Tamandua tetradactyla: one gene and its partners. The protein of the gene in region 3 purifies or fractionates together with the protein of the main gene of each other region. This does not show direct contact. Links are inferred from orthologs where the notes say so. Each region holds a gene or a part of one and is shown on either strand. Other genes may lie near its edges. The genes, in order: GPATCH8, AP3B1, CAMKV and NOLC1.

Region 1 (7,843 bases), on a different chromosome or scaffold from region 3:
AGCTACATAAAATATATAATTGTCAACAGAGATAATACAGCAATTGTCAACAGAGAGTCTTTAGCTTATACCATGCTAGAGTATAACCAGATTGTGCCGTTTAACAGCTGTGTGTACTTGGCCAAGTTACTTAACTCTCTGAGTTACTCCATCTAAAAATGGGAGTAATAACAACACCTTTCTCCTAGGGGTATTGAAAAGATTATGAGATAATACACATAAAGCCTGTAGAACAGTGCCTGTTTATTATTATAATTATCAAAAAAATTTTTACGTATGTCCATAACAATTACTCCATTAATAAATGCTTCAAGCAGCATACAGGATTCTAGCTATATTATACAAAAATACCTCTGAAATCAACTTTAGGTGTTATTTCACAAAATCTAATCAATGAGCCCACCTCTCTGGCACATGAGACAATACTCAAAACCTCTAGCATTTGCACGTGATAGTAAATGGGCAAAGAATGAAACCCTAAAATTCTAAATTATCTTCCCAAAGTAAGAGTCATTTAGAACTTACCAGAGAAGACGGTATAGGGAAATTTCCAGTGCTGTAAGATCTGTTTAAAACAACAAGATCTAACCACTGTTTGGAAACGAACTTTGGATTTGTTTCCGAGTCTATTATCACAAACAAAATAGCCACAATAGTCAGTAGCTTCACCTTGTTTACCACTTAAAAACTTAAAAGAAAGTCACATTTAATTTTGAATAACCTGAACTTGAAAATGTTTCAAATACACTATATGCAGATATGTCCTATTACATCACATTCTCCTCTCCAAGAACTGTAAATAAAGGCACATCATTTGTGAAAGTCAATCTATATTCCTCAGGAAAAAAAAACACCACTTTAAGTATTTTTAAATGAATGTTTTTATAAGTGTTAGCACAATAACTTATAAAAGTTTTAATATCTCATAACTGTCTAAATGATTTCCATTCCCAATACCCAATTTATCCATAATGGCAGGACGTCTGAATAAAAAACATTTTTCCAACTGATCAACATGACATAAACCCAACTAAAGCATCAGCACCAGAGGATCATCTTACCAAGAAATTGGGTATTGTAAAGCTAGAAGCTAATCTTTCCCATTTCCCAGGAGATAGCATTCATATTTTGCTATTCAGTTTTCAAAAGCTTCTCTCAAGGCCCTGCTAATCCTGTGTGTATGTATGTTTTGTTCTGTTTTGAAGCCTGCTGGAATCCTGTGGTTGACAGCCATTTTTCCTCAAAATTTAATTGCCCACATTACCTATTTTCAATTTTATTAGGTCACCTTGAAATTCTCTCCTCTAATAAGCACTTGGGTTATCAATCTGTCTCTTTAAAAATTACCAATAAAGTCCACACCTTGCAGTCTAATGCTTTACCGTACTTGCTAAAAATAACCTTTTTCAGGCATCAGAACTGCTTCAAACTAAGCTGGACCTGCATTATACCCTTTAAACACCTGGAGACCCTGTATTTTCTGCAGCTATTCAACAGGCACATGATCATAAAGCTTTTCAACAGCCCCCAGATCCCTTATTGCCGCTAAACTTCACATCTATGTACTAGACAGTTAACAGTATATTAGTTTAAAACTGCTAGACTGCTTTACCTGTCTATGTACTAATGCAATCATCTCAGGAAATTCAAATCCCTCAAACTGCCTTTTGAAACACGTGTAGCATATTCCCATGTTGCTTTGAGGAAGATCTGCAGTGGAATTAAAAACTTGAGTTCTGATGTTCATCCCCTGACCCAAATTGTTGTTGCCAGGATATGCAGCAGTAATGCAGTTGTTTCTTTGAGACCCTGAGGACATATTTTATCCCAGAAGTACCCAATTTCTCTAAATCTCTTTTAGTCTCCCAGATTTCCACGGTAACGATGCTCTGTAACAGCAAGGTATTTTAAACAGCCAAAGGATGAATTATTCTAGTTTGGCTAGAATTTTTTCCTCAACAATTTTTGCAAGGACGTTTCTCCATACCAATATCCGCAACTGAAGAAAGAAAAATCAAGCTTTTGGTACTAGTTATTAAAAGCTTGGAAAGCCCACTATCATAATGCTTATTACAAATCTTTTTTCAAGGTAGGATTTTCACTTGATCGAGTTTACATGGGCTGTAGTCCTATAACTTACTGTTTTTCAAACCCAATTAACAGCCTAATAACAACAGCAACATTTATGCCCGGGGAAATCTCAATGCTTGACTAAGAACGCTTTGATAACCAAGACACTCTTTTCGGGTGCGGAATGGAAAAATAAGGCTATAAAATGGATTTATTTATTACAGTGAGAGAGGAGCGGAGAAGCACCCCCAAGAAGATCCGTGTGAGCAAAATCCAAGGGTTTGGGAGCCCAGGCCTCAGTAGCACTCGCCGCAAACCTTCTCAACCCTCTTTTCCCCTACGAGTCAGCCCTGCGACCCCACAGACTTGGCAAACTGGAGAGAAACACAGCCCTTCACCCAGCTCGCAAGGCTGGAGTTCCAAAACTCGAAGCCCAAAAAGGCCCAAGCCGCAGAGCTGGCGGCCTGAGTTTTAAGAGGTAAGAGAATGCACGGAGATGAGATGCGGCCTCGCCTCAAGCTGGGAGGCCCCTTGAGGAATCGGAGGCGGGAGGAGAACGAGTCGGTTCAGAGGCCGGAGCAGAGCCTGGAAAGAAAGAGATCTGGGAGCCGGGGATGAAGGAGGTTCCGGGCTCGGCCGCGTCTTCCCCGGCTCCTCGGCGGCGCCCGTGTTTACCTGAAAGTCTCGGTCTTCGTTGAAGCGGGAGAAGCGGTCCGCCATTTTGCCGCCTTCACTCCTCTCAGGACGACACTCTCCGGTTCGCTCCTTTCCTCACGGCAACACCGCCCCCTCCGCTCTCCTCCCCAGTTCCCCGCCTCCTCCTACGCCCACCGGGCGCGCGCAAGCAAGGGAGAGGGGAGGGAACGAGAACGCGCGTCCTGACGGGAGACCCGCCGGCGCAGGCGCCTTCAAGCTGCGCAGGCGCCTTCAAGCTCCGCAGGCGGTACCCTCCCTCAAGTCCCTGCTGCGTGCACGACCCAGAGCGAGCTCGGCGGATGCGCGTGCGTACTCGCGCTCGAGGCTACTAAAGCTTCCGGAGGGAAAGGTCAGAGGTGCGGATGGGCTTGGCTGTTTTCCACCTGCCTGTCTGTCCGGTGTGAAATCTTCTTTTAGCCATCTGTGTATGCGAGGTCCACCCTCTACTTTATTGTCAGCAGCATGAAGTAGTGGATGCAAGCGCAGGCTTTAGAGCTAGACTTCAGTTTCGAATCCCAGTTCTCTCTGAGGGCTAAAACGGTGACAGTCTGTAAAGATCCCTTCTCTTTTAGGGCTTACATTCCAATGGGTGTAGTCAGATAACTAATAAAATCATTATATAATTTTAAATTTAATTTAATGAGTTGTTAAAAAAATGAAACTGAGTGCAGTGATGAGAGGGACAAACCTCTGAAACGACCTTTGTCCTGAGGGTCAGAAAGGAGCCCGCCTTGTAAGGTCTTGGGCAGAAGGAATATTTGACCCAAAAGTCCTATGACGGGAAAAAGCTTGGCATTTTCGAGCAACCCTTTGAGATAAGTATTATTTCTTAAAGGACTGAAGTTGATCCAAATCAATTAAAGTTCTCTGGGCCTCAGTATTAAGAAAAATGAATTTAATAATCTCTAGGCTTCTGCTCAGCACCGACTTTGTGTGATTAAATCAGATTTTCCCATCCTATGACCTTCCTGGTGACTCCACCTGGCCCTCCAACACCCTTAGCCAAAATACACAAAACACAGGTTTGGCAGGACATCGCTGCTTTTGAAAAAGGGTGGCTGACAGAAATCACACAATGGAAAAAATGGCCCTTACCCTTCCCTGAAAAAGTCAAATGGAATGTAAATGTTTGGAGGAAGAGTGTGTATCTTCTATTCCTTTGTTACCCTCTGCCCTACCCCAACTCCAGCCCAAACAATTATAAACAGTCAAAAGAGCTCCCCATCTAATGGGAGATAGAACACACAGAACGCTGTAAAGAAACTTGAGGATAAACGTCACAGATTGAATTATATAGACACACCACACATTTGCCTCCATTACCTCTCTAAACCCCACTAAAATGATATTTGAATAAAAGAATGAGAAGGGCATGAGTTCATATGTATAGAGATCAGAAGGGATAACAGCAGATGAGATGTCAACCAAGTTTTGGAAGCTAGAGAACATAGGAAATGGAAATGGCTCTAGTAAAGAAAGCTAAAAATAGAGGAAACCAAGAAACAAGCTGATTGACACTGAGAAGTACCAGAAAACCTTCACGTACCTCAGAAGGTGAGGGTATGGATGAGGCTGAAAACAAGAGGATTGGTTGCAAGGCATTTTACAGAGCAGTTAAAACCTATATCTCCTTCTCCCCCCAGGAGCAAACTGGAAGTTTACTCTCTAGAAGGGCTGAAACAGAGACTCTGGACTTTGACATGTCTGGCACAGCTGAGGGAGGGAGTGCCGTGCTTAAAAAATGGAAGGAGTAGGTGAAAGCCTACATTTTGATTAGAGAGACCTGGCACTTGGGTTTCTAATCCTGGCAAAAGACCAGAGGATCCCTCTATGGGGAAATTGACTGGCATAGGGGAAAAAAATGTACAAGTACTAGCAATGGTGAGGGAGGGATGCCTCCTATAAAAAAGAACATGTTCTTACCCATTTATCCCACAGAGAAGCTAATCAGTCAGCAAATCCCACTCACAGTTTCCACCCAGTTCTTTAATGCCTCCTTCCTATGATTACCAGGTATTTGAGGGAAACTTGTACCAGGAATGACACACACACACACACATACACACTAAAAGAAAAAAAAAAAGCAATTCAGAGAAACCAGAGATAATGAAAGGAGTAGAAGAAAAATACATCAAAAGAATCGTGATGATATCCACAGAGACATAAGATCACATCAGGGAGCAAAAGAAAAAGAAAATCCATTAATGAAGAAAGAATATTTGGAAATTAAAAATTCTTAAGTAGAAATGAAAAATGCAATACAAGGGTTAGAAAATAAATTAAGGAACTCTCCCAGGAAACAGAATAAAAGAACCCTAGTTCCAGCCACCTTTGCTTTCTCCTGAATTATTGCAGTAGCTACTAAATGTTCTCACTGATTCCATCCCTGCTCCCTATACTCTGCACAGCAGCTGTGGTGATCCTGTTAAAAAAAAAAAGTCAGTCGATTCATAAAAAGTCAGTCTCCTACTCCAACCCTCCAGTGATTTTCCATGTCATTCACATTATAAAGTCCACCTACCACTACCAATTTACCTCTTAGACTTCACGGTCTATTATGTCCCCCTGCTCCCCTCTTCCCTGGACACACTGACCTCCTGACTATATCTTAAACACACCAGGTCTGCTTCTGCCTTTGCCTGCCCCACCTTCGGCTTATGTGTATCCTCGTCTTCCTACTTGGATCATTCTTTCTCAGATAAGCACATGGCTGCTGCCCTCATCTTTCAGTCTTTATTCAAATGTTATTTTCTCAGTATGCTCTTTCCTGATCACCCTATTTAAAATTACTGAGCCACGTGTTCTGAATTCCCTAAACTCTTTCCCTGTTCTATTTTTCTCCACAGCACTTATCCCTTTCTAATATACTTTATAATTTACTTACTTATTCTGCTTATTATCTGTATTCCTTGACTAGAGGTCAGAGATTTCTCTCGGTTTTGCTTCCTTCTATGTCCTCAGTATCTACAACAATGATTGGCATATAGTATGCACTGCATAAAGATTTGAGTGGGTGAGATGGAAATAGGAGAGAACAGATAACAAAGTTGGAGGATAGATCCCACATCTGAACAGTAGGATTTCCAGAAAGAACAGGGGGGAAAAAGAGGATAATAAAGAAATAATGTGAACATTTCTTAGTGCTGAAGGACCTGAGTTTCCAAACTCAGATGGCCCAGCACAATGTATGAAAAATAACTCACTGCCAGGCACATTATTGTGAAATTTCATGAGATGTTTCACATGGGGCAAAGAGAAATTCTTAAAGAGTGGGGAAAAAAATAGGTTGCATATGAAAGATAAGGAAATGTAATGGTGTTGAATATCTCCAAAACACCAGAGACAAGTAATGCCCTGAAAATTCTAAGAGGGTGGTTCCCAACCTAGGTATCTACACCCAGGCAAACCGTAATCAACTGTGAGGGAGAAATATGAGTTGTTTTTTTTTCACCTGTATGCTCTAAAAAAGAAAAAAAATACTTGCCATGCACCATTTCTGTGGAAGTTACTGGAGGATGTTTTATGGCTAATGCAGAGAGTAAAACAAGAAAGACTTAAGATCCAGAAAGCAGGTAGACAACCTAAGAAAGAAACAAAGGGAATGCCCACAGTGTCATTTCAGAATAACAGCAATGGAGCAGGCCTAACAAACACCCAGTCCAGATGAGGACATAGGAGGACAGAGGGCCCTAGAAAGACTGTCAGCAAAACAAACAAACAAAAAATATGATAGCATACCTAGTGGGACTGAAAGTGAGGAGATTTACACTTCTCAAGAGTGGTGAAAATTCATGATAGGAATATAGAAAACTAGGCACATGGTGGGGAAAGGCAATTGATAAATTCAAGAGAGAAAAATTGCCAGGAAACAGTGTAATCATAGTAATCATACTATGTGACGTGGCTCGATTGTGAGTAAAATTTATAGTCACAACAATATAAACACTGAATATTCCTCCAACAAAAAATTTTTTATAGAAGCATATTGGGGGAATGTGGGAGGAGAAGTATATGTTTGGAGGAGAGGGGGGCACTTTAAGACAACTAAACCTTCCATGATAGGAACTAAGTAGATAATGTCTACATTTTAAAGAAAATAAGAAATATCAGTATAAGCATATTATTTAGAAATAAGAAATATCTAGAAATAGTCATGATAATAAAAATAAGGGGAAAAGAGCTAAAAGAGTTGCCTCCAAGGAACAGGAATTGAGGCGGCAATTCAGGAGTGCAGCTGACCCTAGGAGAGACTTATGTACCACATGTGGCAGCCCTGGTTGCACAGGACGAGGAACTGAGAGGCAGAAAGCTGGAGCGTGGCACGGAAGCACAGAGTCACGGAGCCCCTGGGCGTGCACAGATGGGAACACGGGACTAGGAAGTAAGCCAGGCCAATGCGCTACTCTCACAAGAGCAGCCCCGTAACCGTAACTAGCGATTCACCCGCACCCCACGCACCTGAACCCCCTCTCCCGCTCCCATTCCCCGAGCTCCAGGCGCCCCCACCCCACCAACCCCCACTGCACGTACCTGCCCTACACCCCCACCCCAATTGCAGCCCAACCGACCTCTCCTGCACACCTCCCGAGCACTACCTCCCCCTCCCTGTTCCCTGCAGGCTATTGCCAGTGCATAAAGGTTGCATGCACTAACCTCCATACCTAGGCTACCCCTGCCCCCCACCCAGAGTGTCGCACAGCCTCACGCCCCCTCCATGAGCTCAGTGCATCCGCCATGAGCTCAGTGCATCCGCATCCGTTTACTGCACTCCCAGGCCCGCGCAAACGCACAGGCCCCCAATCACATCACTCAGCTCTGGGAACCGCACTTAACAGTGGTTCTAGAACTGCACATGTGCACAGCCCTCAGCCTCACTTCCCAGCTCTGAGAAAGTGCCAACCTGCATAGCTGGGTCACAGCTGCCACCAATTCACAAAGGCATAACATGGGCCTATTGCCACAACCCTATGCATGTGCACAAACGGCCCCGTGCCTCAAAGTGGCGCATACCAGTGTTACACCCCCCAAACGGATGCACCTGCACAGCTACATCCTCTCTGATGGCTGGGCGCCCACA
Region 2 (7,740 bases), on a different chromosome or scaffold from region 3:
GGTGCTTTAAATGAGAGAGCACAACAGCAACTCGGCCTACCTCATCTCAGCACTGGCAGCTCAGCCCAGGTCTGTGGAGATGCAGAAATGAATCACCACGGGGAAAGTTGTTGGAACCCAGAGGCCTGGAGAGAAGGCCAACAGAGACCACCCTGTGCCTTCCCATGTAAGAAAGAACCTCAGTTGAAAGTTAGCTGCCTTTCCTGTGAAGAATTAACGAAATAAATCCCCTTTTATTAAAAGCCAATCTGTCTCTGTTGTGTTGCATTCCGGCAGCTAGCAAACTAGAACATATATATATAATGGTAAGAATATTTTCTTGTATTTCCAAGTTACTATATTTTTTTATTTTTTTCAATTAGAAATGCTGATGAAGAGTCAGTCAATGCATTTAAATATTAATGTAAGTATAACAAGTTTTTAATATTGGAAAATTTTATCATAGAAAATATCTACTCAGTTATTTCATGTTCATCATTTAATATTTGCATAGAATTTTATTTAGTCTATAATTCTCCTTCTTTTGTACTTAAAAATTTAGTGTTGTATATCAGTTATGCTAATAAAATGAATTGGGAAGTGGTTTGACCTTCTCCTTTTTAGTATTCATAATAGGTTAAACAGAAATAGCAGACCCTTTATTGGCGCAATAGAACTGTATTGCTCTTAGTGACTTTTGGTGTCAGATTTTTCCAGTTGTTCAGCTTTTCCAATTTTTTCTAGAGTTATTTAGTTGATTCAGGTTTTTGCAGCTTTTTGAATTTTTTGAATCAACTTTTATAATGTAATAAATTTAATAATTTGTAATCTTTTAAAATTAATTTTAATAATTTATACTTTCCTAGAAAATAAAGAGAAAAAGGTTCACTTAATAATTTAAGATTCTATTAATAATGAGAAAAAAATGAGAAAGTTTCACTATTTATGAAGTGTGCTTACAATTCAATAAGATGAATAACTTAAAATTAAGCAAACACCAAAGCCACATAATTAATAGAAAATAAAATTCAAATTAGGATTCATGTCTTATTTCAATATCAAAAGTTTCCTGTTTGGAGAAATTATACGTTTCCCCTAGTTATAATAAGAGACATGCAAGTTTAAACAATAATGGGTTTTTTTCCCCAGTCAGATTAGCAAACAAAAAGATTTACAGTCTTCATTGCTGGAAAGCATATGATGAAATAGAGGATTGTGGTTTACCCTGTTTTGGGTGAGAAATTTGGCAATATCTATCAAATTTTTCAGGGTGTATACCCTTTGATCTAGCTATTGGATTTCTAGGATCTTAACTTATGTAAATACTATTTCCATTATATGGAGATGACTATGGGAAAAGTTGTTTTCTAAAATTGGATATAACCTATGTGTCTACTAATAGAACATTGATTAAAGATGCAGCTATAAAATGAAATATTATATAGATGTTTAAAACAATGAGGGAACCATATATAAATCAATATGGAAAGATTTTCATAATAAGAGAAAAAAGCAAGATGAGTGGTATTATAGTTTTTACTGATATTTGGAAAAATATACACAAATTTGTTTTTAATGCTTAAAAAAAGCTTGAAACTTAAAAAAGCCAAAGTTAACTATTAATATGAGGGTCCAGATGAACAGAAACTGAAATCAGAAAGTTAGATTTTTGTATTCTGAAGAGATAAGAACACTAGTCCTCACCCTATGAATTTACTATTTTTAATATTTCTTTAAGTAGAGTATTAGAATCCTAAGGAAGTAAGAGACCGGTGCTGGTTTGAAAGCATTGTGTGTCTCAGAAAAGGCATGTCTTTTAATCCTGATTCAATATTGCAGGGTGGAAACCTTTGGCTAGAGTTTTTCCATGGAGATTGACCCACTCGTTTTGGGTGTGACCTTTTGATTAGATCATCCCATGGAAATGTCACAGTCCCAATTGTGGGTGTGGCTTTTTTTTTTACTAGATTGAGCGGTGACTCAGCCCATTCAATGTGTCTTGATTAGTTAACTAGAGTCCTTTAAAAGTAGAAACATTTAGGAGAAACCTCAGATGGAGATGCTTGGAGAACAGTTGCTTCAGAGCTGACAGAGATGCAGACATTTGGAGATGCTTGGCATGCTGACAGAGAGAGCTGATACCTACACATGGATGTTTGGAGATGCAGAGTCCAGCAGGGTTGTCACATGGCTTCCTGTGAGATGCCAAGCAAGCTGGAATCCAGAGTTGTGTCCTGGAGGAGCTAAGTGAAGGCCCACAGATGCATAGAGAGGAAACCACTGGCATCAGAAGCTGGAAGCAATGGAACCAGGAACAAGCACCAGCAGACACCAATCACATGCCTTCCCACCTGATGGACATTGGCCGTTCTTTTTTTTTTTTTTCACAATCACAGTCACATTGTGAAAGCTGTATCATGATACAATCATCTTCAAGAAACATGGCTACTGGAACACTGCTCTACATTTTCAGACAGTTCCCTCCAGACACTGGCCTTTCTTGAGTCAATGTATCTTTATCTGGATGCCTTAGTTGGACATTTTTATGGTCTTCGAACTGTAAACATGCAACTTAATTAATTTCCGTTTTAAGTCATTCCATTTCTGGTATGTTGCATTCTGTCTGGTAGCATTGAACGAACTAATATAAGACCCTAAGTAGCTTCTCATCACATTTTTTTGGGGGGGGATAGAAGTAAGCTTTATTTTTCAAGGACTATTTACTTTGCATCTTATATTCCAGAGAAGACAAACAGAAAGTTAATTAATTTTTTTGAGGATTATAGAACCTTAATCCCTGTACAAGGATAGTGCCCCAAAATTGTAGTTTAATATTCAAGGACAATGCAAAAAATATTGTAGCGCAATCCTACATGAATCTGCATGAAAAAGAAAATATTGCCAAATAAAATATTAGCAGAAAAATCAAGCAGTGAATTAAAATGACTCAAGTGATCTACATATGTTTATTCATTAAACAGTAACAGAAGCTAGGCTTTGGTTTCCTTTATCTTTAAAAGAGGACATTGGTGTATGTGTGTGTGTGTGTATATATATTATATATAAATATATGCTAAAGAATCTCTTACAGATACTTGGGTTTAGAATTTCTTGTATATAGAATACATGCAACTTTACTGGATATACTAGCTTGTTCTTCATTGAATTTCAGTAGTTCATACTTTCACAGCACTGTATGAATTAACAGATGTAAAACACTTCGAATAGTGCCTGTTACATATTCAATATTATACAATACATAGTAATCTATGATTGTTAATTCCATTAATCAGTATTGACAATCAACAGATTTTAGGTAATCTATTATCGCATCTCTGGAGACGTGTTCTAACAACTGAATTAAAAATCCGACAAATTTTAACTAAACAAATTCTGGAGGACGTTTCCTCTCCTCCTACGCAAAGCCACTGTCCTGCGGGTTTCCACAGTAAGAGTTTAGCCTTATGAGGAGCTGAGGACCACAGCTGGTCCTTGACCCTGCACCCACCTGCCCCTTCCTCCCAGAGGCCTTCAGAGGTTCACAGTTCAGGCACTCATTCCCCCCCAGTGCCCCCTACGCGCTCACTCCCCTCCAAGCACTCAATCCCCCCACCATGCCCCACTGCCCCCTACGCATTCACTCCCCCCTGCACTCACCCACTATGCCCCACTGCCCCCTACGCACTCACTCCCTCCCACCATGCCCCACTGCTCCCTACGCACTCACTCCCCCCCACTGCCCCCTACGCGCTCACTCCCCTCCCCGCACTCACTCCCCCCACCATGCCCCACTGCCCCCTACACACTCACTCCCCCCACCATGCCCCACTGCCCCCTACGCACTCACTCCCTCCCATTCCCGCACCCCCCCTCACCCCCGCAGCGATCTTGGGGGTCCCGTGACAGTTTCAGGACTTGGCTTCCCGGGTTCTGGGTTTTAAAACCTGCCCAGAGGGAGGAGTTTGGGGAGGGGGAGCGGAGGCCCTAAACCACCCGTGAGGGCGAGCTGGGTGCTGCCCGCACCCGCGATGAGAGCCCTCCGCTGGGGTCCCTAATGTCAGCGGACGGTTGGCGCAGGGAAGAGGGAAGGAGGTGCCCAAGTGACGGGCCACTCCTTGGCGCGCGAGCTGGTTCTGCTTTCCTTCTGGCAGGCTGAGGCCGCCGGCCGCCTCCCTTAGTGGGGTGGGGCGTCGGGCGCCGGGCCGTTCGCTCGGGGGCTGACACTGGAGTGACCGGCTTCCCCGCAGCGCCGCGAGTCGCCGGCGGGGACCCTCTGCCGGGTACTGCCCAGGGGCGCTGCACCGCTGGGCGGGTAACGGGAGGCTGTTTGTTGGAAGAGGAGGTCTTGGGGTGTGGAGGGAAAGGCACGCGGGCAGGAGAGGGAGGAGCGGAAAGAGTCACACCAAAGATAAATAAATATTCACGACGAGTTTAGGAAAATTGATCTGGCAGGTTAAAGGGCATTTCGGGAGAAATATGAAAGCTACTGGTGTGCAGAACAGTCAAGCAAAGAGATGTCCGAGGCCAGGAATCTCCTTTTGAGATCAAAATGGATACAATGGGTAGCTCTCTCCGAAAAATAAAAACCCCACGAAGTCGCAAATAAAGTCCGCAGCAAGCCCACAGCCTGGCTTCCAGGGGGCCACAGCCCGGACTCAGCCACCGCAAAAACCCGGAGTGGGAGCTCCGGCAGGCCTGGAGCGGGCCGGGTTCGGGCCAGCCTGGGCACTGGGCATGCGCAGGGGCTGGCCCGCCGGGTCCGCTGTAAACCGTGACGAGTCCGGAAGCGCCTGCGCGCGCCCCTCTGCGCCAGAAGTAGTTTTGTTCCGCGTCTCGGGACTGGAGCCCTTCTGGGAGAACCCCGGGCAGCACCCGCTCGATACACCCCCATCGCCGCGGCCATGTCCAGCAACAGCTTCGCTTACAATGAGCAGTCCGGCGGGGGGGAGGCGACGGAGCTGGGTCAGGAGGCGACCTCAGCCATTGCCCCCTCGGGCGCCTTTGGCCTCTTTAGCAGCGACTTGAAGAAGTGAGAAGAATGGTTTGGGGCGCTGGGGCGGATGAGGGGCCCGGGATCCCGCAGGAGCGGGCCCCGGGCGGGGGCTCCCGGGAGAGGGGTGGGCGCGCCCGGAGATCTGGTCGGAGCTGGGCGGTGACTGTCCCCGCGGGCAGGTGAGGGGTGGGCTTGCGTCCGTGGGCTGTGTGGGAAGCGCACCGGAGTGTGAGGGTCTCGTAGTTTTCAAACTTTGGTATAACCCCCTGTGGAGAGGTTGTCCCCACCCCCAAAGACCCTGACTGAGTTGGTCTGGGCTAGGACAGAGGAATCTGAATTTTGAACGAACACTTTTAGTCGAGTTGATGTTCGGGGACCGAACGTTGAGAAATTGTCCTGTCAGGGTGAAAGGAGTTTCTTTGGTAGTTGGAAATGGGAATGAGTGTGAGTTTTGCTGATGGAGACTTATTCCGTGATCCTGGAGTGAATCGGAAAGGGGGTGATTTTAGGGGCTTTATGAATGAAAAAACTGCTTTATACAAGCTTTAATCTTCTTGGCCAATATCCTTTACAGACAAAAAAACCAATTCTAAACAAAACAATGGAAATATGAGTAGAGAATATTTAAAAAGAGCGTTACTGAGAACAAATCAGAAACTTTTACAAGGTACCTTTTACAAGGTAATGTTTTTAATGTTTTTTAAAAACATTAATGTACACTTGGTTTTGTAAAAAGTTGGTAAAATATTTTGAGTGCCACTGAGAAATGGAATAAAACGTTGTTACTAAACTAATGAATTTATAAATAAATGAATTAAGAAAAAGCCAATTATTTTTATTGGCGGAGGGGTTTAAAAGGAATAGACTTACAGAATCCTAGAAGCTTTGTTTATATTTTATTGTGGTCGTTTTTTACATTTATAAATTTTTATTTTTCAGTACTAATCAATATGGTCACATATTAGCTTGTCACTAGATTACTGTGAATTAAGATAAAATATTTATGCTGGTAGCTTTGCAGGTGTCACAAGGGTGTAATTAAAATGTAAACTTTACTAATAAGATTGGGTAGTCTAGAAAGTGTTTAGAAGTTGAAATTGGAATTAAGATTTGACTTATTAAACTCACTGAAATCTTACAGGCTGCATGTGGAATAGTCTTTTACTTGTTTTCCCTTGATCATGGGTAGAAATGTTTAAAAGTAAAATATCTGATTTCATTTTTCATTCTGTGCGTTGAGATTATTTAGCGTTCTAACAAGGAGCTTGTTGCATTTCTACAGTTCCGTTACAGTTTTGCCTGTCAAATTAACCTGCAAATTTGCATCGTTTATTTGGCATGTAATTTGCTTACAATTAATTTACTTGTATACTTTGATGAATACTTTGTGTACATCTAAGATATTTTCCATTTTAGAGCCTCTGATTTTCTATTTTGTCAGATTTGGGCCTATTTGTGAAATATATTTGTCTTCAATTCTGTGACCAGTGTTATTGAGGTGGCTTTGCAGGTTCTATTTAAAATAAAAGTATCTAATGTTATTGAGTGCTTGCTAGATGCTAGGTATTTGTGCACATCACTTTACGTCCTGTAAACAATCCTATGACACAGACACTTCTCTGATCTCACTTTACAGATGAGAAAATCAAAGTATATTGCTAGGATTTAAACCCAGGCATTCTAATCTCAGCCCACTTTCAAGCATTTGGATGTACTACTTATTACTTGATGAAATTTATGTTGCTTTCAGTATTAGAGAATGCATAGAACTCCCTAAAAATTTAAAGCTTTGAAGAGCAGCTGTAGACAGTGTATGACCTTGAAGCTTCCAGAAATTAGAAACATTTGACCAATGAACTGCAATCTAAAGGTTTGCACAAAAACAAGGAGGCCCCTGTTTTGGGAAGTAGTCACTTAATCTCTCCTGAGCCAGTGTTCTCTAATTTATAAAATGGTGATGTTACTTTGATTTTTTTTTTTTTTTTTTACTTCTCAGGTTTAATACGATGATAATCGTGGCAAAATTCACTTGAAAAAGTTAAAGATTACTCTGTTTCTCGCTCTGATTTTAATGGTTTACTTGGATATAGTTTCAGGTTTACAGAAAAGTTGCAAAAATAGTACAGAGAATTTCTGTATACCCTTTACTCAGAGATTCACCAATTTTTAAACACTTTGCCACATTTGTTTTATCATGCTCCACACACACACACATTCATATCAAGTTTTCATCATGTGCCTTTATCCCTTAATGCCATAGTGTGTATTTTTTTAAGGTCAAAAATATCCTCTTACCCAATCACAGAACTGTTATATTCAGAAAATTTAGCATTGGTGAAGTCTATAGTCCTTAATCCAGTTTCCCAATTTGTCCCAATAATGTTGTTATTATTTTTTCACCATCTTTTTCTTCTCGTGTAGGATCCAGTCAAGGGTCACATATTGCTTTTAGTTGTCATATCTCTTTAATCTAGAGTAGTTTCTGAGCCTTGCTTTACCTTTCATAACTTTAATTTTTTGGAACAATACAAGCCTGTTATTTTATAATGGGTTAATCAGTTTAGGTTTGCTGGTGTTTCCTTGCGATTAGATTCAGGTTATGTATCCCTGGTCAGAATTCTACCATAAGTTATGTGTCCTTCTTAGGCTATTACATCTGGAGGCATAGGATCTTCTTGATGTTAATTTTTCTGGTCAAGAGGTTGTCCAGTTTTTCTACTGTATTGCTATTATTTTTCCTATTTCAAATAATCTTTCTCTGGGAAGAC
Region 3 (6,907 bases):
ATATGCATGCAATGAAATACTATTCAGCCATAAAAAGGAATGAACTTTGAAAACATTATGCTAAAAGATCACCATATGATTTCTTTGATATGAAATGTCCAGAATAGCAAATCCTTGGAGAAAGAAAGCAGATTAGTGGTTATCAGGGGATGGGAAGAGGAGGGAATAGTGAGTGACTACTTACTGGGTATGGAATGTTCTTCTGGGATGACAGAGTTTTGAAACTAGAGAGAGTTGGTGGTTGCACAACATTGTGAGTGTACTAAATGCCCCTGAATTCACTTGTGTCAATTCCACCTCACTTTAAAAAACAAAACAGGCAGTACTAACATACTGTCTAGGGATATATACACAGTAGTAAAACTGTAAAGAAAAACTAGGAAATAAGCACCAAGAGACAGATATCAGTTACCTCTAAGAGAAAGGGAGGGGTTGTGAGGTAGTAAGGACACATGGGTGACCTGGAGAGCCTATTTCGAGACTATTTCTGAATCTGAGTGGTGGTTACACAGGTGTTACATCATAGTAATCTGTAAAGATGTACATTTTTGTGCACATTCCTAGATTCTTGTTATATTTCATGATAAAAAATATCAATAAATCCAGTAGCCATGTTTCTTGAAGATGATTGTATAATGATATAGCTTTCCAAATGTGACTGTGTGATTGTGAAAACCTTGTGTCTGATGCTCCTTTTATCTATGGTATGGACAGGTGAGTAAAACATATGGATTAAAAATAAATAAATAATAGGGGGAACAAATGTTAAAATTAAAAAAGATATATATTGGACAGATGGAAATACTAATGGTCAATGAGAGGGAGGGGTAAGGGGTATGGTATGTAAGAGTTTTTTCTTTTTCTGGAATGATGCAAATGTTCTAACACATGGTCATGGTGATGAATATACAACTGTGTGATGATATTGTGAGCCATTGATTATATACCATGTATGGAATGTTTATATGTTAAGAATGTATGTGCTTGTACATTGTTGCATCAAAATATATATATATATATATATATTAATAAAAATTATGGCCATGATACTGTGGAATACTTGGTAGCTACTGAAAAAAAGAAAATAGACTGAAATGTGTTGTTGTAAGGCAGTCTCTGAGGTATGCTGTTAAGGTGATAGAGCAAGGAAGAGAATGGTGGGTAGAGTATACTGCTATCTGGGTACCGTTTTTAAAGTTTGTATACTGGTGTACACTCACAAACTGTTTTCTGGAAGAACATCTAAGAAAATAAGAGTTCTCTGTGGGGCAAAGGATTGGGTGTCAGAGGAGCAGATTTGTATCTTTGGTTTATTAATTTTCGGTTAGAATTTTTACTGTTATATATGATTACTTTTATTAATTTAATAAATATTGCATCAGGCATGTTGCTTAGGGGATTCCTCCAACAGAGAACCCAAATCTGGTGAAGAGGTAAGGAAAGACTTTGAGGAAGAGGCAGCATTAGTTCTGGATCTTGGAAGGGAGGGATTTGCTAGGATGCACGCAGGGATGATGGCCAGGAAGAGCAAGACAAGCTTCCCCGGTGCCTCACTGCTAGGGTCCACAAAGGGCTTAGGAAGTTAGGTCCTAGGTGGCTGCATGCAGATGGCTCAGTGGGCTCCAGGCAGTCTGTGCTTCTGGGGCATAGTGCCCCATGCGTCTACACCCCTGCCAGCTATGGTAGAGTCCTCACCTGTGGTGCTGGGTGGGCTGGCTCCAAAGTTCAAAGGACAGCACCCCCTGTCCTTGTTCCAGAGATAAGTTTAGGGTGCAGGGGTGGTGGTAGCAGAATTAGTGTCTGGAGCTTTGCCTTGCTGCCTCCACAGTGCCTGGTTAGCATGGCACTGGACCTCAGCAAGCTCTGCAGTGAGGCTACATTGAAACTGCTCTATCGTGCTGTCTGTACATTTTCTCCCTCTATACCGATTAGCACTTGCTTTGCACAGGCCTTGGGCTGGAGCCTTAGATACCTAGATGCTCACCTACCTGGAGGCACTCACAGCCTCAGGGTAGTGGAGACGGGAAGAAGCCACCCTCTTGTTCTCCAGAGGGGCAGCTTGGGCTTGAGGGACTCTGCCAGCTGGGGTCACAGGCCAAGGCCCAGAGAAGCCCTATGACCCACCCTGGCAGAGGGAAGTCCCAGGGGTGGCATTCCTGGAAATTCTCCCTCAAATCTGCCCTCACCAGCAGGGAACAAATTCCATCATTCCCTCGTCTGGACTGCTTGGGCTCAAGAAACGCAAGCACATTTCACCAGCCTCACTTAAACCAGGGCTTAAGCCATCTTGTGAGGCATCACAGAAGCAAAGAGAAGCTTTGAAGATCGTCCCCGACTGATTGTCTTTGCCACCATGACCACAGCCCTGCTCCCACGTCTGCAAGGGAGGAGTGTGTGCTGGAATCCTGCTCTTGCAGCTGAGAGCAGTGACAGTCACCCACCACTGCCGGCCACCCATCTCCATGTGAGAACAATCTGGGGGAGGGGACGCGACCCACATCAGTCCTTTCAAAGACCCTGACGGGCAGCAATTCCCTTCCCGGGCTAGGATCTGAGGGCCATATATAGGGCAGGAGGGTGGTACCCCAGCCTGAAGGATCCCTAGGAGGGGCTGGGAGGGACCTGTGTCCCAGCTCTGTTGCATTGCTTACACTGTTCCCTCTGGCGAGTATGCCCTTCCCCCAAAGCCTCCCTTCAGAATCCTATGATTTGTCACAGCAGAGTTATTTATAACATTAAAAATTCAGCAACTACCTAAACGTCCAACAACAGGTGACTCGTTAAGCTCAGCTGTGTCCATTCAATGGCAGGAAGTGTGGGCACTAGCAAGGGTGCTGCCCACCCCAGCTTCCCTGCAAAGCAGCCTCCACCTGAGCAAGGGCTGTGACCAGAGCTGAATCTCTTCTTTCACTGTGATTTCTGACGTTATAAGGTTATTTGCACAACAAATTATCTAAAACAAACCTGATATTCCAAAACTGGACAAAACACCCCTCTTCTGAGACACCGTCCTCCACCCTCCACCCTCCATCCTAGATGTTAACAGCTCCCAGCCCTGCAGAGGTGGCTAAGTTTGCATATGTTTGCAATTGTATGTCCCCACAGCTCGTTGTCATGCATATGCACTTGTGCCACTTGGGGGTGATGGGGAGGAGGCAAGGCTGCTCTTGAGATTTATCTCTACTGCCTGGGCCTCTGCTCACAGTCACAAAGGCCCCTGAAGCCATGTCCTACAACACTTGCTTGGCCCCTTCCCCAGACCTGGCCCCAAGACAGAGAGGGGAGAAAGACCTTCCACCTCTACCCACTCTACCTCCTGCTCCCTATGGCTGCTGCCTAGGAGACTATGGGTCTATGCACCAAACCCCGGGTACCTGCCTACATTGAGGGGGGCCCTGGACTTGAGGCTGGGAGAAGCAGCCAATGGCCAGCTCCAGGAACGGTGGGAGGCCAGGCAGAAAGAAGTTGCATTTCTCAACCTTTCCCCCCTCCTCCCCTTGGCCTAGACAGCCCAGACACAACCCCAGGAACATACGCTCTTGGGTCTATCTCAGATCCACAATAGGATATTGGGGGGCATAGGAGCATCACAGAAGCAGTTTATCTGTAGATGTGGCTCTCTCCATTAGCTGCAGAGAAACTGAATGGTTGCAGAGGGGCCTACCCAAAAGGATCTTGCAAGGAGCGGAGAACCACTGTGCTACAGCTGACTTTAAATTCTTCTCAGTTACTGCCTGACCCTTGGGCCTAACCACTGAGCCCAGGGAATTGGGCCTCAGTCAACTCTGAGTGAGCCTCTACCTGTTGGCACCCAGGTTGTAAAGGGTCCTCTTGGAGCCCCATGGCAGCCTTCGGCAAGACTGGCCCAGGGGAAGCTCAAGTGAGCCAGAGGCCAGCTCCAGTGGCCCAGAGGCACCATATTCAAGTCCTACTCTACCTCCAGTGGGGTCAACCTGGTTCAGGTCCCACCTTTCCTACCCATAAATAGAAATATCCTGTTATCCTGATTCCTTGTCCCATGTGGGGCTCCAGAGCTTGCAACAAATCTAGGGAGGCCAAGAGAGGCCCAGGAGGCCTCTGACTGCCTGACTGTGGGAAACACCTCCTGATTTAGTGGCAGCTGTGAATACCAGCCTGCAGGCACCCCTTACCCTCCCCTGTTCTCCTCTCTTTCTCACAGGCTGGGGCTGGATTTCCTGTTACAAAAGATAGGCCCCAACCTGTCTAGCTCCCAGCTGAGACCTCATCTACAAGGCCAGGGGAGATGGGGGCCTCACAGGTAGGGTCTTGTGTTAAAAGGCAGAGCCAAGCTTCTAGCCCACAGACCAACTGCTTCAGGGGACTGGGTAGGGAGCTGCCCTGGCTGGGCTCTGGGCTTCAGCTAAACCGTAGTTGACAGTTCCCAGGGTTGATTCTCTCTCTTCTAAGGAGGAATTGTGCAGGGGAATTATATTCAGTCTTGGGGGTGGGCATACAATCCAGTGCTACCTCCAGAAAATTCAGCCTTCAGCCTGCAGGCAGAGCCAAGAGCCAACTGGCCTCTCCAGGTACCTGGGGTCCCAATCATTGAACCCCAGAAAGAGAGCCCACTGGGGACCCTGCTTTCCTGTGGGTGGAGGAGGGGAAATGCATACGAAGGTGCTGGAGTAAAAGGATTGCTACAGTGACAGAAGTTTTAAAACAAGGGAGGGGGTGAGGAAAGAGGTATTGAGTAGGCCTTCTCTCCAAGAATTCCCTTGGACTTTAGTTTGGCTCCTTCCTCTGGGGAGGGCCTATGATCCCAGCCCCATCAAGGAAAGGGAAGGTAGGGGTCTGAGAGCCCGCAGGAATGAGAAGGACGGATACACAGGGAGATAAAGGCAGAACCTTTGATGGATAAGGAACAAGAAGACAACAGAGTAAAAGGGGCACACGCGCAAGGGAGAGGATGGAGGAAGTAGGCCGGAGGTTCTGATAGGATCTATGGGTGCCCAGCAGAGCCCTAAGGCCTCCGTGGCCATGTGCTCTGACCACCTGGGCCAGGAGCTGCCCCTGGTATCTGGATCTTCAGGGCTGAACTCTCCTGTATCCCTCAGATACACAACGAGCTTAGTGTGGAAGACACAACCCTGGCCCCGGAGAAGAGGCTAGTCGCAGCCCCCTGAGCCAAGCATGGGGGGGAAGGAAACAAGGCTTGGAGAGCTGGCTGTCTCCCTCAATAGCCCCTCCTCTCAGCGGGCCCAGCTCTGCTTAACCTGCCCAGCCAGTCCCACCCATCCACCCGTTTGCTGTACTCTCCTAGCCTTGGGTCTCTGGGGCCCCTCTTGCAGCTCAGCTTAACCTCTCCCACAATGGAGCCCTGGCAGGATGGGACTAGAAGTGGTTCCACAAGAAATCCAGAAACGGTATAATTGCACAGTCGTCCCCCGACCCCCAATCAATGGCTCAGTTTCCCTAGATATAGATCAAAGCCTCTGTGGCCTCCTCTCCCCACTGTCTGCCTGCCAATGAGAGGTGGCCAGATATGGAGCTGGAGAGGAGGGGCGACAGTGTGAACAACAGGCCAGGTACCTGGGGAACCAGCCCAAATGCTGTGAAAGAAAGGGAGAGAGACCCCTGCCCCACTCTGGAGACTATCCTGGCCTGGAGGAAAGGGAGACACCACATGTACCATTTGAGAAAATTGAGACCCAGCAGGTGACTAGAGCTGTCAAGAATCAACTCTGAAATGGGGGGGGGGGGGGGGAGGCCGGGAGGTCTCTGCAGGTGATCCTGGGTCTGGAGGTTGGGGGGAGGCAGGACAGGGGTTAGACTGCAGCAGGCTCTGAGCTTTTGCTGAGGGACAAAGGGACATGCTATCTAGGAGGGAACCTAGTTGAGCAATCTCTGCCCCGTGGGGGTGCGGACAAAGGCAGTTTAACAGAGCTCCTTGAGCTGGGGTCTCTGCCAGTCACCACAAACTGGGAAAAACAGCTCACCCTGCGCCCCTCTCCCCTCCAGCCAGGGACTCCTAACCTCCACGGTGGTGCCACCCTGACCCCCATCCACAGCACTGCTCGCCCCCGCTGGCACAGCACACACATGCTGAGCACACGTGTGAGCATCAAGCCCCGCACCCCCTAGCGGGTACATGTGTCACCCCCACCCCCACCGCGCACGTGGGTCTGTGCCCTGGACCCCGGTTGGACCCGTGTGAAGGTTCGGCAGCTGGATGTTGGCTGGGGGTCCGCCAGTGCCCAGGGGCTTGGAGCCTCCTCCCCCAACCCGCAGCAGCCCCGCCCAGCCCCCTTTGGGTTGTCGCCAATAAAGAACTCTCCGTTGTCATGGAAATTAGTGACTGCTCAGCGGGAGGGAGGGGGCCGGGGGCAGTTGGGAGGGGCTGGATGCGGCTCTGTAAACGAGGACGGACGTCTCTGCCCTCGGGCCCCCAACCCCAATGGGGACCACGAATCTTGAAGGGCTAATGTTTTCACAATTCGTAGTCCGGCGACGGGGGGGAAGGAGAGGAGATGCGCCTGAACTTGGGTCGCAGAGGCTTCACTTCCACCCTGACCCCCGGGCAGTCCGAGGGGACGGGGAACTTTAGTCCGACCCCGCACGCCACCCCATGGGATCTGCAGAGCCCCCGCGCTCCACCCGGGTCGGGACACCTAGCCCTCGCGGCACCCCCGCGCACTCTGCATCCGGAACATCGAGCCAGTGGGATCCAATCCCCAGGACCCCCCAGCGTGCGTTCGGGAGGCGCCCCCCTTCCCCGGCAGCCCCGCACCTGCAGCGCCGGTCCGTCACGGGTTGGAAGCTACCGCGAGCTCAGTGGGGCGTTTGGGGCTCCGGGGGCGGCGGGCAGAATCTGCTCCGGACACGCGGGGCAGACGCGGCGCCAGCTGCAGCCGCTTCGCCTTGCGAACCTCCAGCATCGCCCGTCACT
Region 4 (7,299 bases), on a different chromosome or scaffold from region 3:
ATATTGATCATTGCTCAGAAAGTCCCCAGGTTCTTCTTCATAGTTAACCTATTCCGCACCCACCACCACCCCTTGGTCACTAGAAGCCAGGATTCTAGGTTTCTTCCTTTCTAAACTCTTAATTAACTCCCTTCCCTTCTTAAAGCTGCACACCTGGACAGACTTTTTCTTTTTCTCCTCCTCCTCCTCATCACTGGATTCTTCACTGCTGCTACTTTCTGATGCTTTGGCCACAACCTTCCCAGATTGCTGAGGCAGTGTGGTCCGCTTAGCAGACACAGCTGAACAAAAGCAGAGATCCAAGTAAAAATTAGGCACATGGTACACACTAACCACAAATCCTTTTCCCGGAATCACCAATCACAACCTCCTGCCCTGTCTTACCCGCCTTTTTAGCTGGAGGCCCTTGGGTTTTTTCCTCCTCACTGCTATCCTCACTGCTGTCACTGGATGAAGTCTTCTTAGCCTTCTTAGTCACCGGTCCATTTACCTGTAACTTCCGCTTTGGGGCCTTAGCAGACCTGTTGACATACATTAGACTAACTTCTGGGGATCAGGACCTTCCTAAACCAAGGAACACAGCCTAACAAGGAATAAAAAACACTGAGGAACACAGCTCACTCAGCCCGCCACAGAGAAAAAATAGCCAAAGTGGAAGAGGGAAGGCTTACTTGAGCCAGAAGCTATAGATATCCAAAAGGGAAGAGGCATTGGCATCCTGCTGTGTCTGTAAAAAAAAAAAAAAAGAGAGAGAACTGGATAAGGAAATTTTATTCTGGTTCTTCAAGGAAGGATCATGTTTTGCGTTATTCTTTCATTAAATGTGACCTATTAATCCCAACTACATTTGGTATAAACGGTACATATTACTATGTCTACTTGCACAAATCAGGAGAAAAACATCTGATCTATTTGCGTATTTCCCAATTTTGGATACCAAATACTTGGGCTATTCATGAGATTTTTATGGCACCATCACCACCACGTATATGAAAGGCTTAAAAGAACATGCATTTCCTTTATTCTACCATTGTCTTATTTGGAGTTTATCCTTACCCATGAAACAAGGAAATTAAACATTTATACAAGTGGGTGTTTTTGGCAATGTGGTTTATAATACCAAATCACTGGAAGAGAAGATTGGTAAATAACTGCTATACAGACAGTATAGAATTGCATTCAATTATTAGCACTCATATAGATTATAAATTGATTCCAAAAGATGGTAAGGCATTACAATACAAACAAGAGTGCAGATTCAGTCAGATAACTATAGATATGAAACCACCTCTGCCAGTTATAGCTGTGTGACTATGGGCATATTACCTAATCTCTCTGAGACTGTTTTCTTCTCTAAAAAAAGGAAATAATACTATCCATTTCATTAAATTGCAGAAAGAATAAGAGATAATATGGGTGCATGGGGGGTTCAGTGGCAGAATGCTTGCCTTCCATGCAGGAGACCCAGGTTCAATTCCTGGACCATGCACCCCTCCCCCCCAAAATAATACAAAGAATAAGAGATAATGCATGTGAAAGGGCTTAACAGCTGGCCCCTCACTATCCCTCCACAAATATTAATTTTGTCTTGTAAAACCCAAGAATCCTGACTCTGAAAGGCCCAATTACATCCAACCCATTATGGAAATTTTCTTTGCAGCCTCCCTGACATTCAATTCAAAACTGTTCCAATAAGAAAGCAGTTATATAAGTTTACATGGTACTGTGTCCCAGCTAAGGAAGTTCTTTCTGAGGTTGAGCCAATCGCCCTCTTTCACAGCCTGGTTCTGCTACAAAAACAAGACTACCTTCTTGGTCGTGTAATGTCTACACTGCAAACTACCACTCTAATCTCTCTCCAGGTGTTTCCCCAGGGTGCTCTTCCTGATATGTGGATTCCAAACCTTTCAGATCCTGGTCATCGTCCTCTTATATATGTTTGGAACAATTCTAAGTTATCATAGCTAAGGGAACAGCTTTCAATCATTGATGTTTCCTGTACAGAACTTAGTATATATCATCTTACGGAAATTCACCAAAAAAACCCCAAAGTGGATAACAGCATCTCTGTATAAATAGAAACAGACTCAGAGAGATCAAGCAAGCTGCCTAAGCTACACTCTACTAATGGTAGACCTGGTATCTTTGCTAAGTCAAAGATCCACCGTTACGTTTGCTTGATAGGGCTATGAGGTTCAATCCTTCTGCTTCAGTATAACAAGAGCAGAACCCTGCCTCTACGCTAATTTATTTTCTTCTTTATTAACGAAAATTCTAGCCTTCATTTCTGAAGCAATTTCATTCACCTTGAGTCCGAGGTAAATGAAGTCGTCAATTAGGTCAAGTCACGCTCTGTCTCAGTCAACTAAAAGCCCACCAAGGGCCGCCAACGATTTCGGTGGGGTACGGTGACCCTTCATTGCAGCACTCCGCCAACCCATGTGACTTGGGCCACGCGGGTCCCATGCTGCAGCCAATGCACCGCTCACCAAGAAAAAGCAGCAAGATTCAGTACTACCTATTCAGACCTCGAGGAAAAGGAGGCGCGACGCTCCAGGCCCTCTGCTGCCACCGCCGAGAGCTCGGCACAAAGGCCTCCGCAGAGACCAGGCGGGCAGACCCCAGAGACTTTCCTATTCGGAACCCTAAGCATATCAGGGCCTGGAGTCTTGTGGTCGTCCCACCCTGTCCAGTGCCCCAAGCTCGGGACTTACAACGCCTGTCGCCTTGGCGAACTTGTTTGCCACCTCCGAGAGCTGGTTATCGCGCAGAAAGCCGAGAACGAGGGGATACAGATCGCTGGGAAGCACGCGGCGCAAGCCGATGTCCGCCATATTCCAGGATACACACGTCACTACCGTCGTCGACACAGTGCTACTTAGAAACTGCAGGAGGTAGGCAGGCGCCCTGTAACGTCATTACGCCGCGCGGGCGCATACCGGAAAGGCAGGTATTCCACAGAGCAGTCCCGCCTCCGTGTCGGAGGCAAGGTCAAGGCGGAAGCCGAAAACTCCTTCCGGTCCTAAGCGTGTCGTCTTCATGGTAAGGGCGGAGCTCGCGGTCCGCCACTTTGTGTGGGCGGAGCCCTGACGTAAAGGCCACGCCCTCGGCCGTGGCGGGAAACCTCGGCGTTTCCCGCGCGTTACACTTTTGTAGGAGGTTCTTTTCTCAGAGTATCGGCATTCCGGTCTCCAGCTGGAATTGGTATTCCACAGTAATGCATGGGCCGCCCGGTTCAAGCTGTCCTTTACTCCCTAGACTTGGTCACAAACCCTCCCAATTGTCCCCATTCAGTGGGTTCCCCCTTCATCTTCACTGCCTCCAGCACCCAATGAGACACTTTTCTCAGATACCACTTCAGCCTCCAAACTCACCCCTCCGTTACAAAGGATTCCTCAGGTTATCGGTGGTGGTTGTTGATCCCCCAAACCACCCGACAGGATCTGTCCCTGCACCTCCCGTAGATATAAGGCAGCTCCCCTCCCATTACTTTTTCATCATTAGCTCCATGAAGAGAAATCCTGCACCCAACCCAGTCACATAGCAAGTCCTAAAAATAACTCCGCTACCTCCTGGATAAGAGTTCACACTGTGAACTAGAGAACTGCCGCCCAATTAGTTACCATGAGTAACTAATATAAAACCTCGGGTTCATAAAGAAATTCCAATTTCTGCCATATTTCAGTTCACATTAGCAGGCAGCAATCCCTTCAATCCTACCAACCTTCATCACTTTCCATTAATGCATTACATCAGGAAGGGTAAGAATCACTTCCTCATGGGCTACCCCTCTACTCTACTTTTCTCAAAACAGGCACCCCCCCCAGGTGTAACTCCGTGTCCCTGTTCCCTAGAAAGAAGCTGGCCCCATCTGTCCACATGCATGTATTCTTTAAACACCTGAGCACTTTCTGTGCACCAAACATTGTGCTCAAGCTAAAATGGTAAACAAAACTGAATGGTTTATGTAACCAGAGATCCAGTTTGGGGAACCTTTATTTGGAATAAGTTTGACTTTCCTTAGGTCTTTGCTATTGCAGGCCCTTCCTGGACAGCAGCAGGAACATCCTCTTGTTAGAAACGCAGATCCCATCCCAGAAGGTCTAAGAATCTGCATTCTAAAAAGAGCTCCCTATGATTCAATGACTTTGAAGTTTCAGCACTGACCACCATGACTGATTTCTCAAAGAATACATTCAAATCCAGTGGACTCTGCACCTGACCAGAGAGGTCCTAGGATCGTGATGGAAATGAGCATCTCCCTGGTTGTGTTTAAAGAAAAGTGAATATATTTGGCACTAGCACCACAGAAAGAAACACAAGAGCACTTGGGAGTTCTCTCTAGTTCATTTTTATTAGTCTGCATAGTGATTTAGATGTTCCAACAATGGGCGAACCCCTCAGCTCCACCCATTTTACACAGGAATGCAAGTTAACTTGTTTCAATACCTGTTATAAAAAACAAATACCCCTTTAAAAAAATCTGATTTTACACATTTTTTATTTCACTTTTTTTCCATTTCTTTACAAAACAGTCATCTCCTCACTAGCAGCTCTCTCCCCTAGAGTGGGGGAGGTGGGGTGGAGGAGGTTGGGCACCTCCGAAGAAAAAAGGGGAGAAAGGGCCCAGGGTTACCTCCGGAGGTTCTTCTGGGCCTGTTTCAACAATGTGTCAAAGTCAAGAGAATCAAATTTGCTCTTTACAGGGGCAGGGTCAAAGTCTTCCCGGTTGGAGTCTATAAAAGGAGAGAGACCAGTAATTTCAAGATTATGAGGTCTCTGACCGTCACTTCCCAAACACAGGGTCCTCAAATGGCCAGCAACCTCCCATCCCAATAATGGATGAAGCTTTAAGTGTCCTGATTTTCTGTCAAAGACACCAAAGCCCCCACTTCTCCTCTCATCCCACCCCTTAGGTTCTTCATTTGTCAGATGAAGATAAGTCTGCCTAGCTCCACCCTCAAAGGGTTGGGACCACTTCTAGGAAGGTGATGAAGAGTGCCAAAGCCTCAGGCCCTCTTTCCACTCACCAAGATCGGAATAGCTCCTCTTGCAAAACTGTCTGCGGCCCCCAAAGCAGAGATCAAAAGGCTGCTCATCTGCCTGCCGCAACTTGTGGCCGCTCTCAATGGCTGCAAATGCCTCCTCAGCATAGCGGTAAGTGACGAAGCCATAGTTGTCACTGGTGGGAAGGGTGAAGCATGGGCTGGAGTGGCCACTTGGGCACAGGTTGACAGAGTATCTGGGGTGGTTTCTTCTCATTACCCAACCAGCCAACTCTCTGACTGAGGAAATAAAGGTGTCCCAGAGCAAGGGGAAAAAGACAAAGAAGCATCAAGATAGCTAAATGGGACAGAAAGGACATCCTAACCTTAGGGCAGAAGCTTACCCTTGGACACGGAAGTGAATGGTGCACTCCTCAATCTCTCCAAAAACAGAGAACCTCTGTTTCAGCTCTGACCGAGTCATGCGGCCAGGTATCTTCCCAATGAAGACCACCCTTCTCTCTTCCTATTTTGGGACAAGGAAAATCAACATACCATGAGCCAGGACAGTCAGCTGTAGTTGACTCTCTAAGCTTGTAACTCAGGGGCAAGTCCAAGGTCCCATCACCTGTTCCTCTACTCACTATTGCACGCTCCTTCTGCAGGACTCTCTGCCTTTGGTAATGATCATGTGAACGATAAGAGCTGTACCTGACAGGAGGAAAAGGTACCATCAGCCCCTAGACATACATCAATTCAAGACTCGAAACTTGAGGTACCTGCCCAGGTACCACTGACATCCTATACACACGCTCACCGCCGCCTCCTGTCACTTCTTCGGCGAGGGGATGGAGAGCGGGAACGGCTGCAGGAACTGGATGAGGAAGACGAGGAAGATGCAGAGGAAGATGACGATGAGGAAGAACATCTTCGGGAACGTCCAGAGGAACTGCAGCTGGACCTGGAGAATAAAGGACCATGCAAAAATGCTGGAAGTGGTACAGGTATACTCCACTTGCATCACCCCGGCTCCTGCCCTGACTTCTCGTCAGAAGGTTCAGGACCAGAGGTAAAGTAGAATAGAAGAGGTCTAGAACAGTTATCTTCACAGATAAACAAAGTATCTGGACAGAAATCATTTTTATTTTCAATTGTGCAATTCAAAATTGAAAGAGTTATCAAAAAGAAAATAAATGGAAACCTAGAGAGATAAAGGGCTGAGCCCTAGGTCTCTCTGTGGTGTTGGGAGCCAGACCTGAGTCTCTGGGTTTCTCCTTCTTTACCATATCTCATAGGACTGCTCCACTATAGAATAAAGGGTAGGTGACTGTGCTAGACTTATAGTAGGGGCCACTTCTGAAGATATCTACCGCCAACAAAAACCAAAAACTTCACTGATTAAGTGGGAAATTTTGGATCTGTTATTAAAAGACACCACCAGGAAATAGATGAGGCACCCAAAGGACTTCGGGAATGACTGTTTCCAATGAAGAATTAACCCACTCTTCCACCTTCTCCCATACCACCAGGAAAATGCCATAATTGAGGATTGATAAAGTATGTGAAGGAATCAACATGGTCAAGAGCAAACCCTAACAGTCTCCTCAAGGCATGTCTCAAGGAAGCAGGAGACCTCAGGGACAACCCAAACTCCAACAAAGAATGGAAGCTATCTTCCCACAGTTTGCCTCCTTCAACAACTCAGGAAAGGGGGGAAAGACAAAAGCCAAAGACAGAAGTGGAAGACCTAGTGCCTGAAAGTATCAAACTTAATGTGCAAAAGCTTTCAAAAGAAACCATTGTACATGAACTTCCTAAATGGAGAGGACCTAACAGGCCATCAGAGCTCACCTGCGCCATCTCTTGTGTGGGGGGGAGAGGGACCGGGACCGGGATCGGGATGAGGAAGACGACGATGAGGATGAGGATGCTTCGCTGGTCCCGTTGGACCCAGAGCTGACAGAACGGCTGCTGCGGCCACGGCGGCCCTGCCAGCCCCGGCTTGGGGAGCTGGCTGATCTGCAGGCTTTTCGGTAGCAGCGCACTGACCGCTGCTTGGCTGAGGACTGAGGAGTCCTAGTGTTCATGTCATTCCGGCAGGGTGAAGCCTCAGGGGACAGCAAGGTGGATGGGGCAAGGCAAGGGGTTGGGGGGTCTGCCTGCTCATTGCTAGTCCTGTGATCAAGTGGCTCCTGGGAGGCAGCTGTGTGTGGGGGCAATGGGGCAGCTGGGCCCAGAGACAAGACCGGCTTGATGGTGATGTCCTGATGGCGTTTGACGTTCCATCGGGAGCCCACCTCTGGAATGACTAGGG

The links.
Region 1: the proteins of CAMKV (region 3) and GPATCH8 purify together in Homo sapiens (affinity purification with mass spectrometry; 3 studies listed by BioGRID and IntAct, counting the BioPlex papers as one, with this or other methods). This does not show direct contact. The link is inferred for Tamandua tetradactyla from reciprocal best matches to the Homo sapiens genes CAMKV and GPATCH8.
Region 2: the proteins of CAMKV (region 3) and AP3B1 purify together in Homo sapiens (affinity purification with mass spectrometry; 3 studies listed by BioGRID and IntAct, counting the BioPlex papers as one, with this or other methods). This does not show direct contact. The link is inferred for Tamandua tetradactyla from reciprocal best matches to the Homo sapiens genes CAMKV and AP3B1.
Region 4: the proteins of CAMKV (region 3) and NOLC1 purify together in Homo sapiens (affinity purification with mass spectrometry; 3 studies listed by BioGRID and IntAct, counting the BioPlex papers as one, with this or other methods). This does not show direct contact. The link is inferred for Tamandua tetradactyla from reciprocal best matches to the Homo sapiens genes CAMKV and NOLC1.

Annotation. Positions count from the first base shown.
Region 1 is NC_135332.1:22,912,063-22,919,905, reverse strand, and holds the start of GPATCH8 (G patch domain-containing protein 8), read right to left. Parts: upstream 3,008-7,843; 5' UTR 2,791-3,007; coding exon 2,746-2,790; intron 1-2,745.
Region 2 is NC_135347.1:53,554,608-53,562,347, forward strand, and holds the start of AP3B1 (AP-3 complex subunit beta-1), read left to right. Parts: upstream 1-4,734; 5' UTR 4,735-4,880; coding exon 4,881-5,008; intron 5,009-7,740. UniProt on the Homo sapiens protein: Subunit of non-clathrin- and clathrin-associated adaptor protein complex 3 (AP-3) that plays a role in protein sorting in the late-Golgi/trans-Golgi network (TGN) and/or endosomes.
Region 3 is NC_135341.1:36,199,721-36,206,627, reverse strand, and holds the start of CAMKV (caM kinase-like vesicle-associated protein), read right to left. Parts: upstream 3,007-6,907; 5' UTR 2,801-3,006; coding exon 2,755-2,800; intron 1-2,754. UniProt on the Homo sapiens protein: Does not appear to have detectable kinase activity.
Region 4 is NC_135339.1:64,002,477-64,009,775, reverse strand, and holds the start of NOLC1 (nucleolar and coiled-body phosphoprotein 1), read right to left. Parts: upstream 3,010-7,299; 5' UTR 2,835-3,009; coding exon 2,715-2,834; intron 728-2,714; coding exon 672-727; intron 565-671; exon of another isoform or gene 536-564; coding exon of another isoform or gene 522-535; coding exon 385-521; intron 282-384; coding exon 154-281; intron 1-153. Other genes in the region: PPRC1 (peroxisome proliferator-activated receptor gamma coactivator-related protein 1), read right to left, coding at 4,633-4,736, 5,031-5,182, 5,390-5,511, 5,630-5,696, 5,803-5,946, 6,837-7,299. UniProt on the Homo sapiens protein: Nucleolar protein that acts as a regulator of RNA polymerase I by connecting RNA polymerase I with enzymes responsible for ribosomal processing and modification.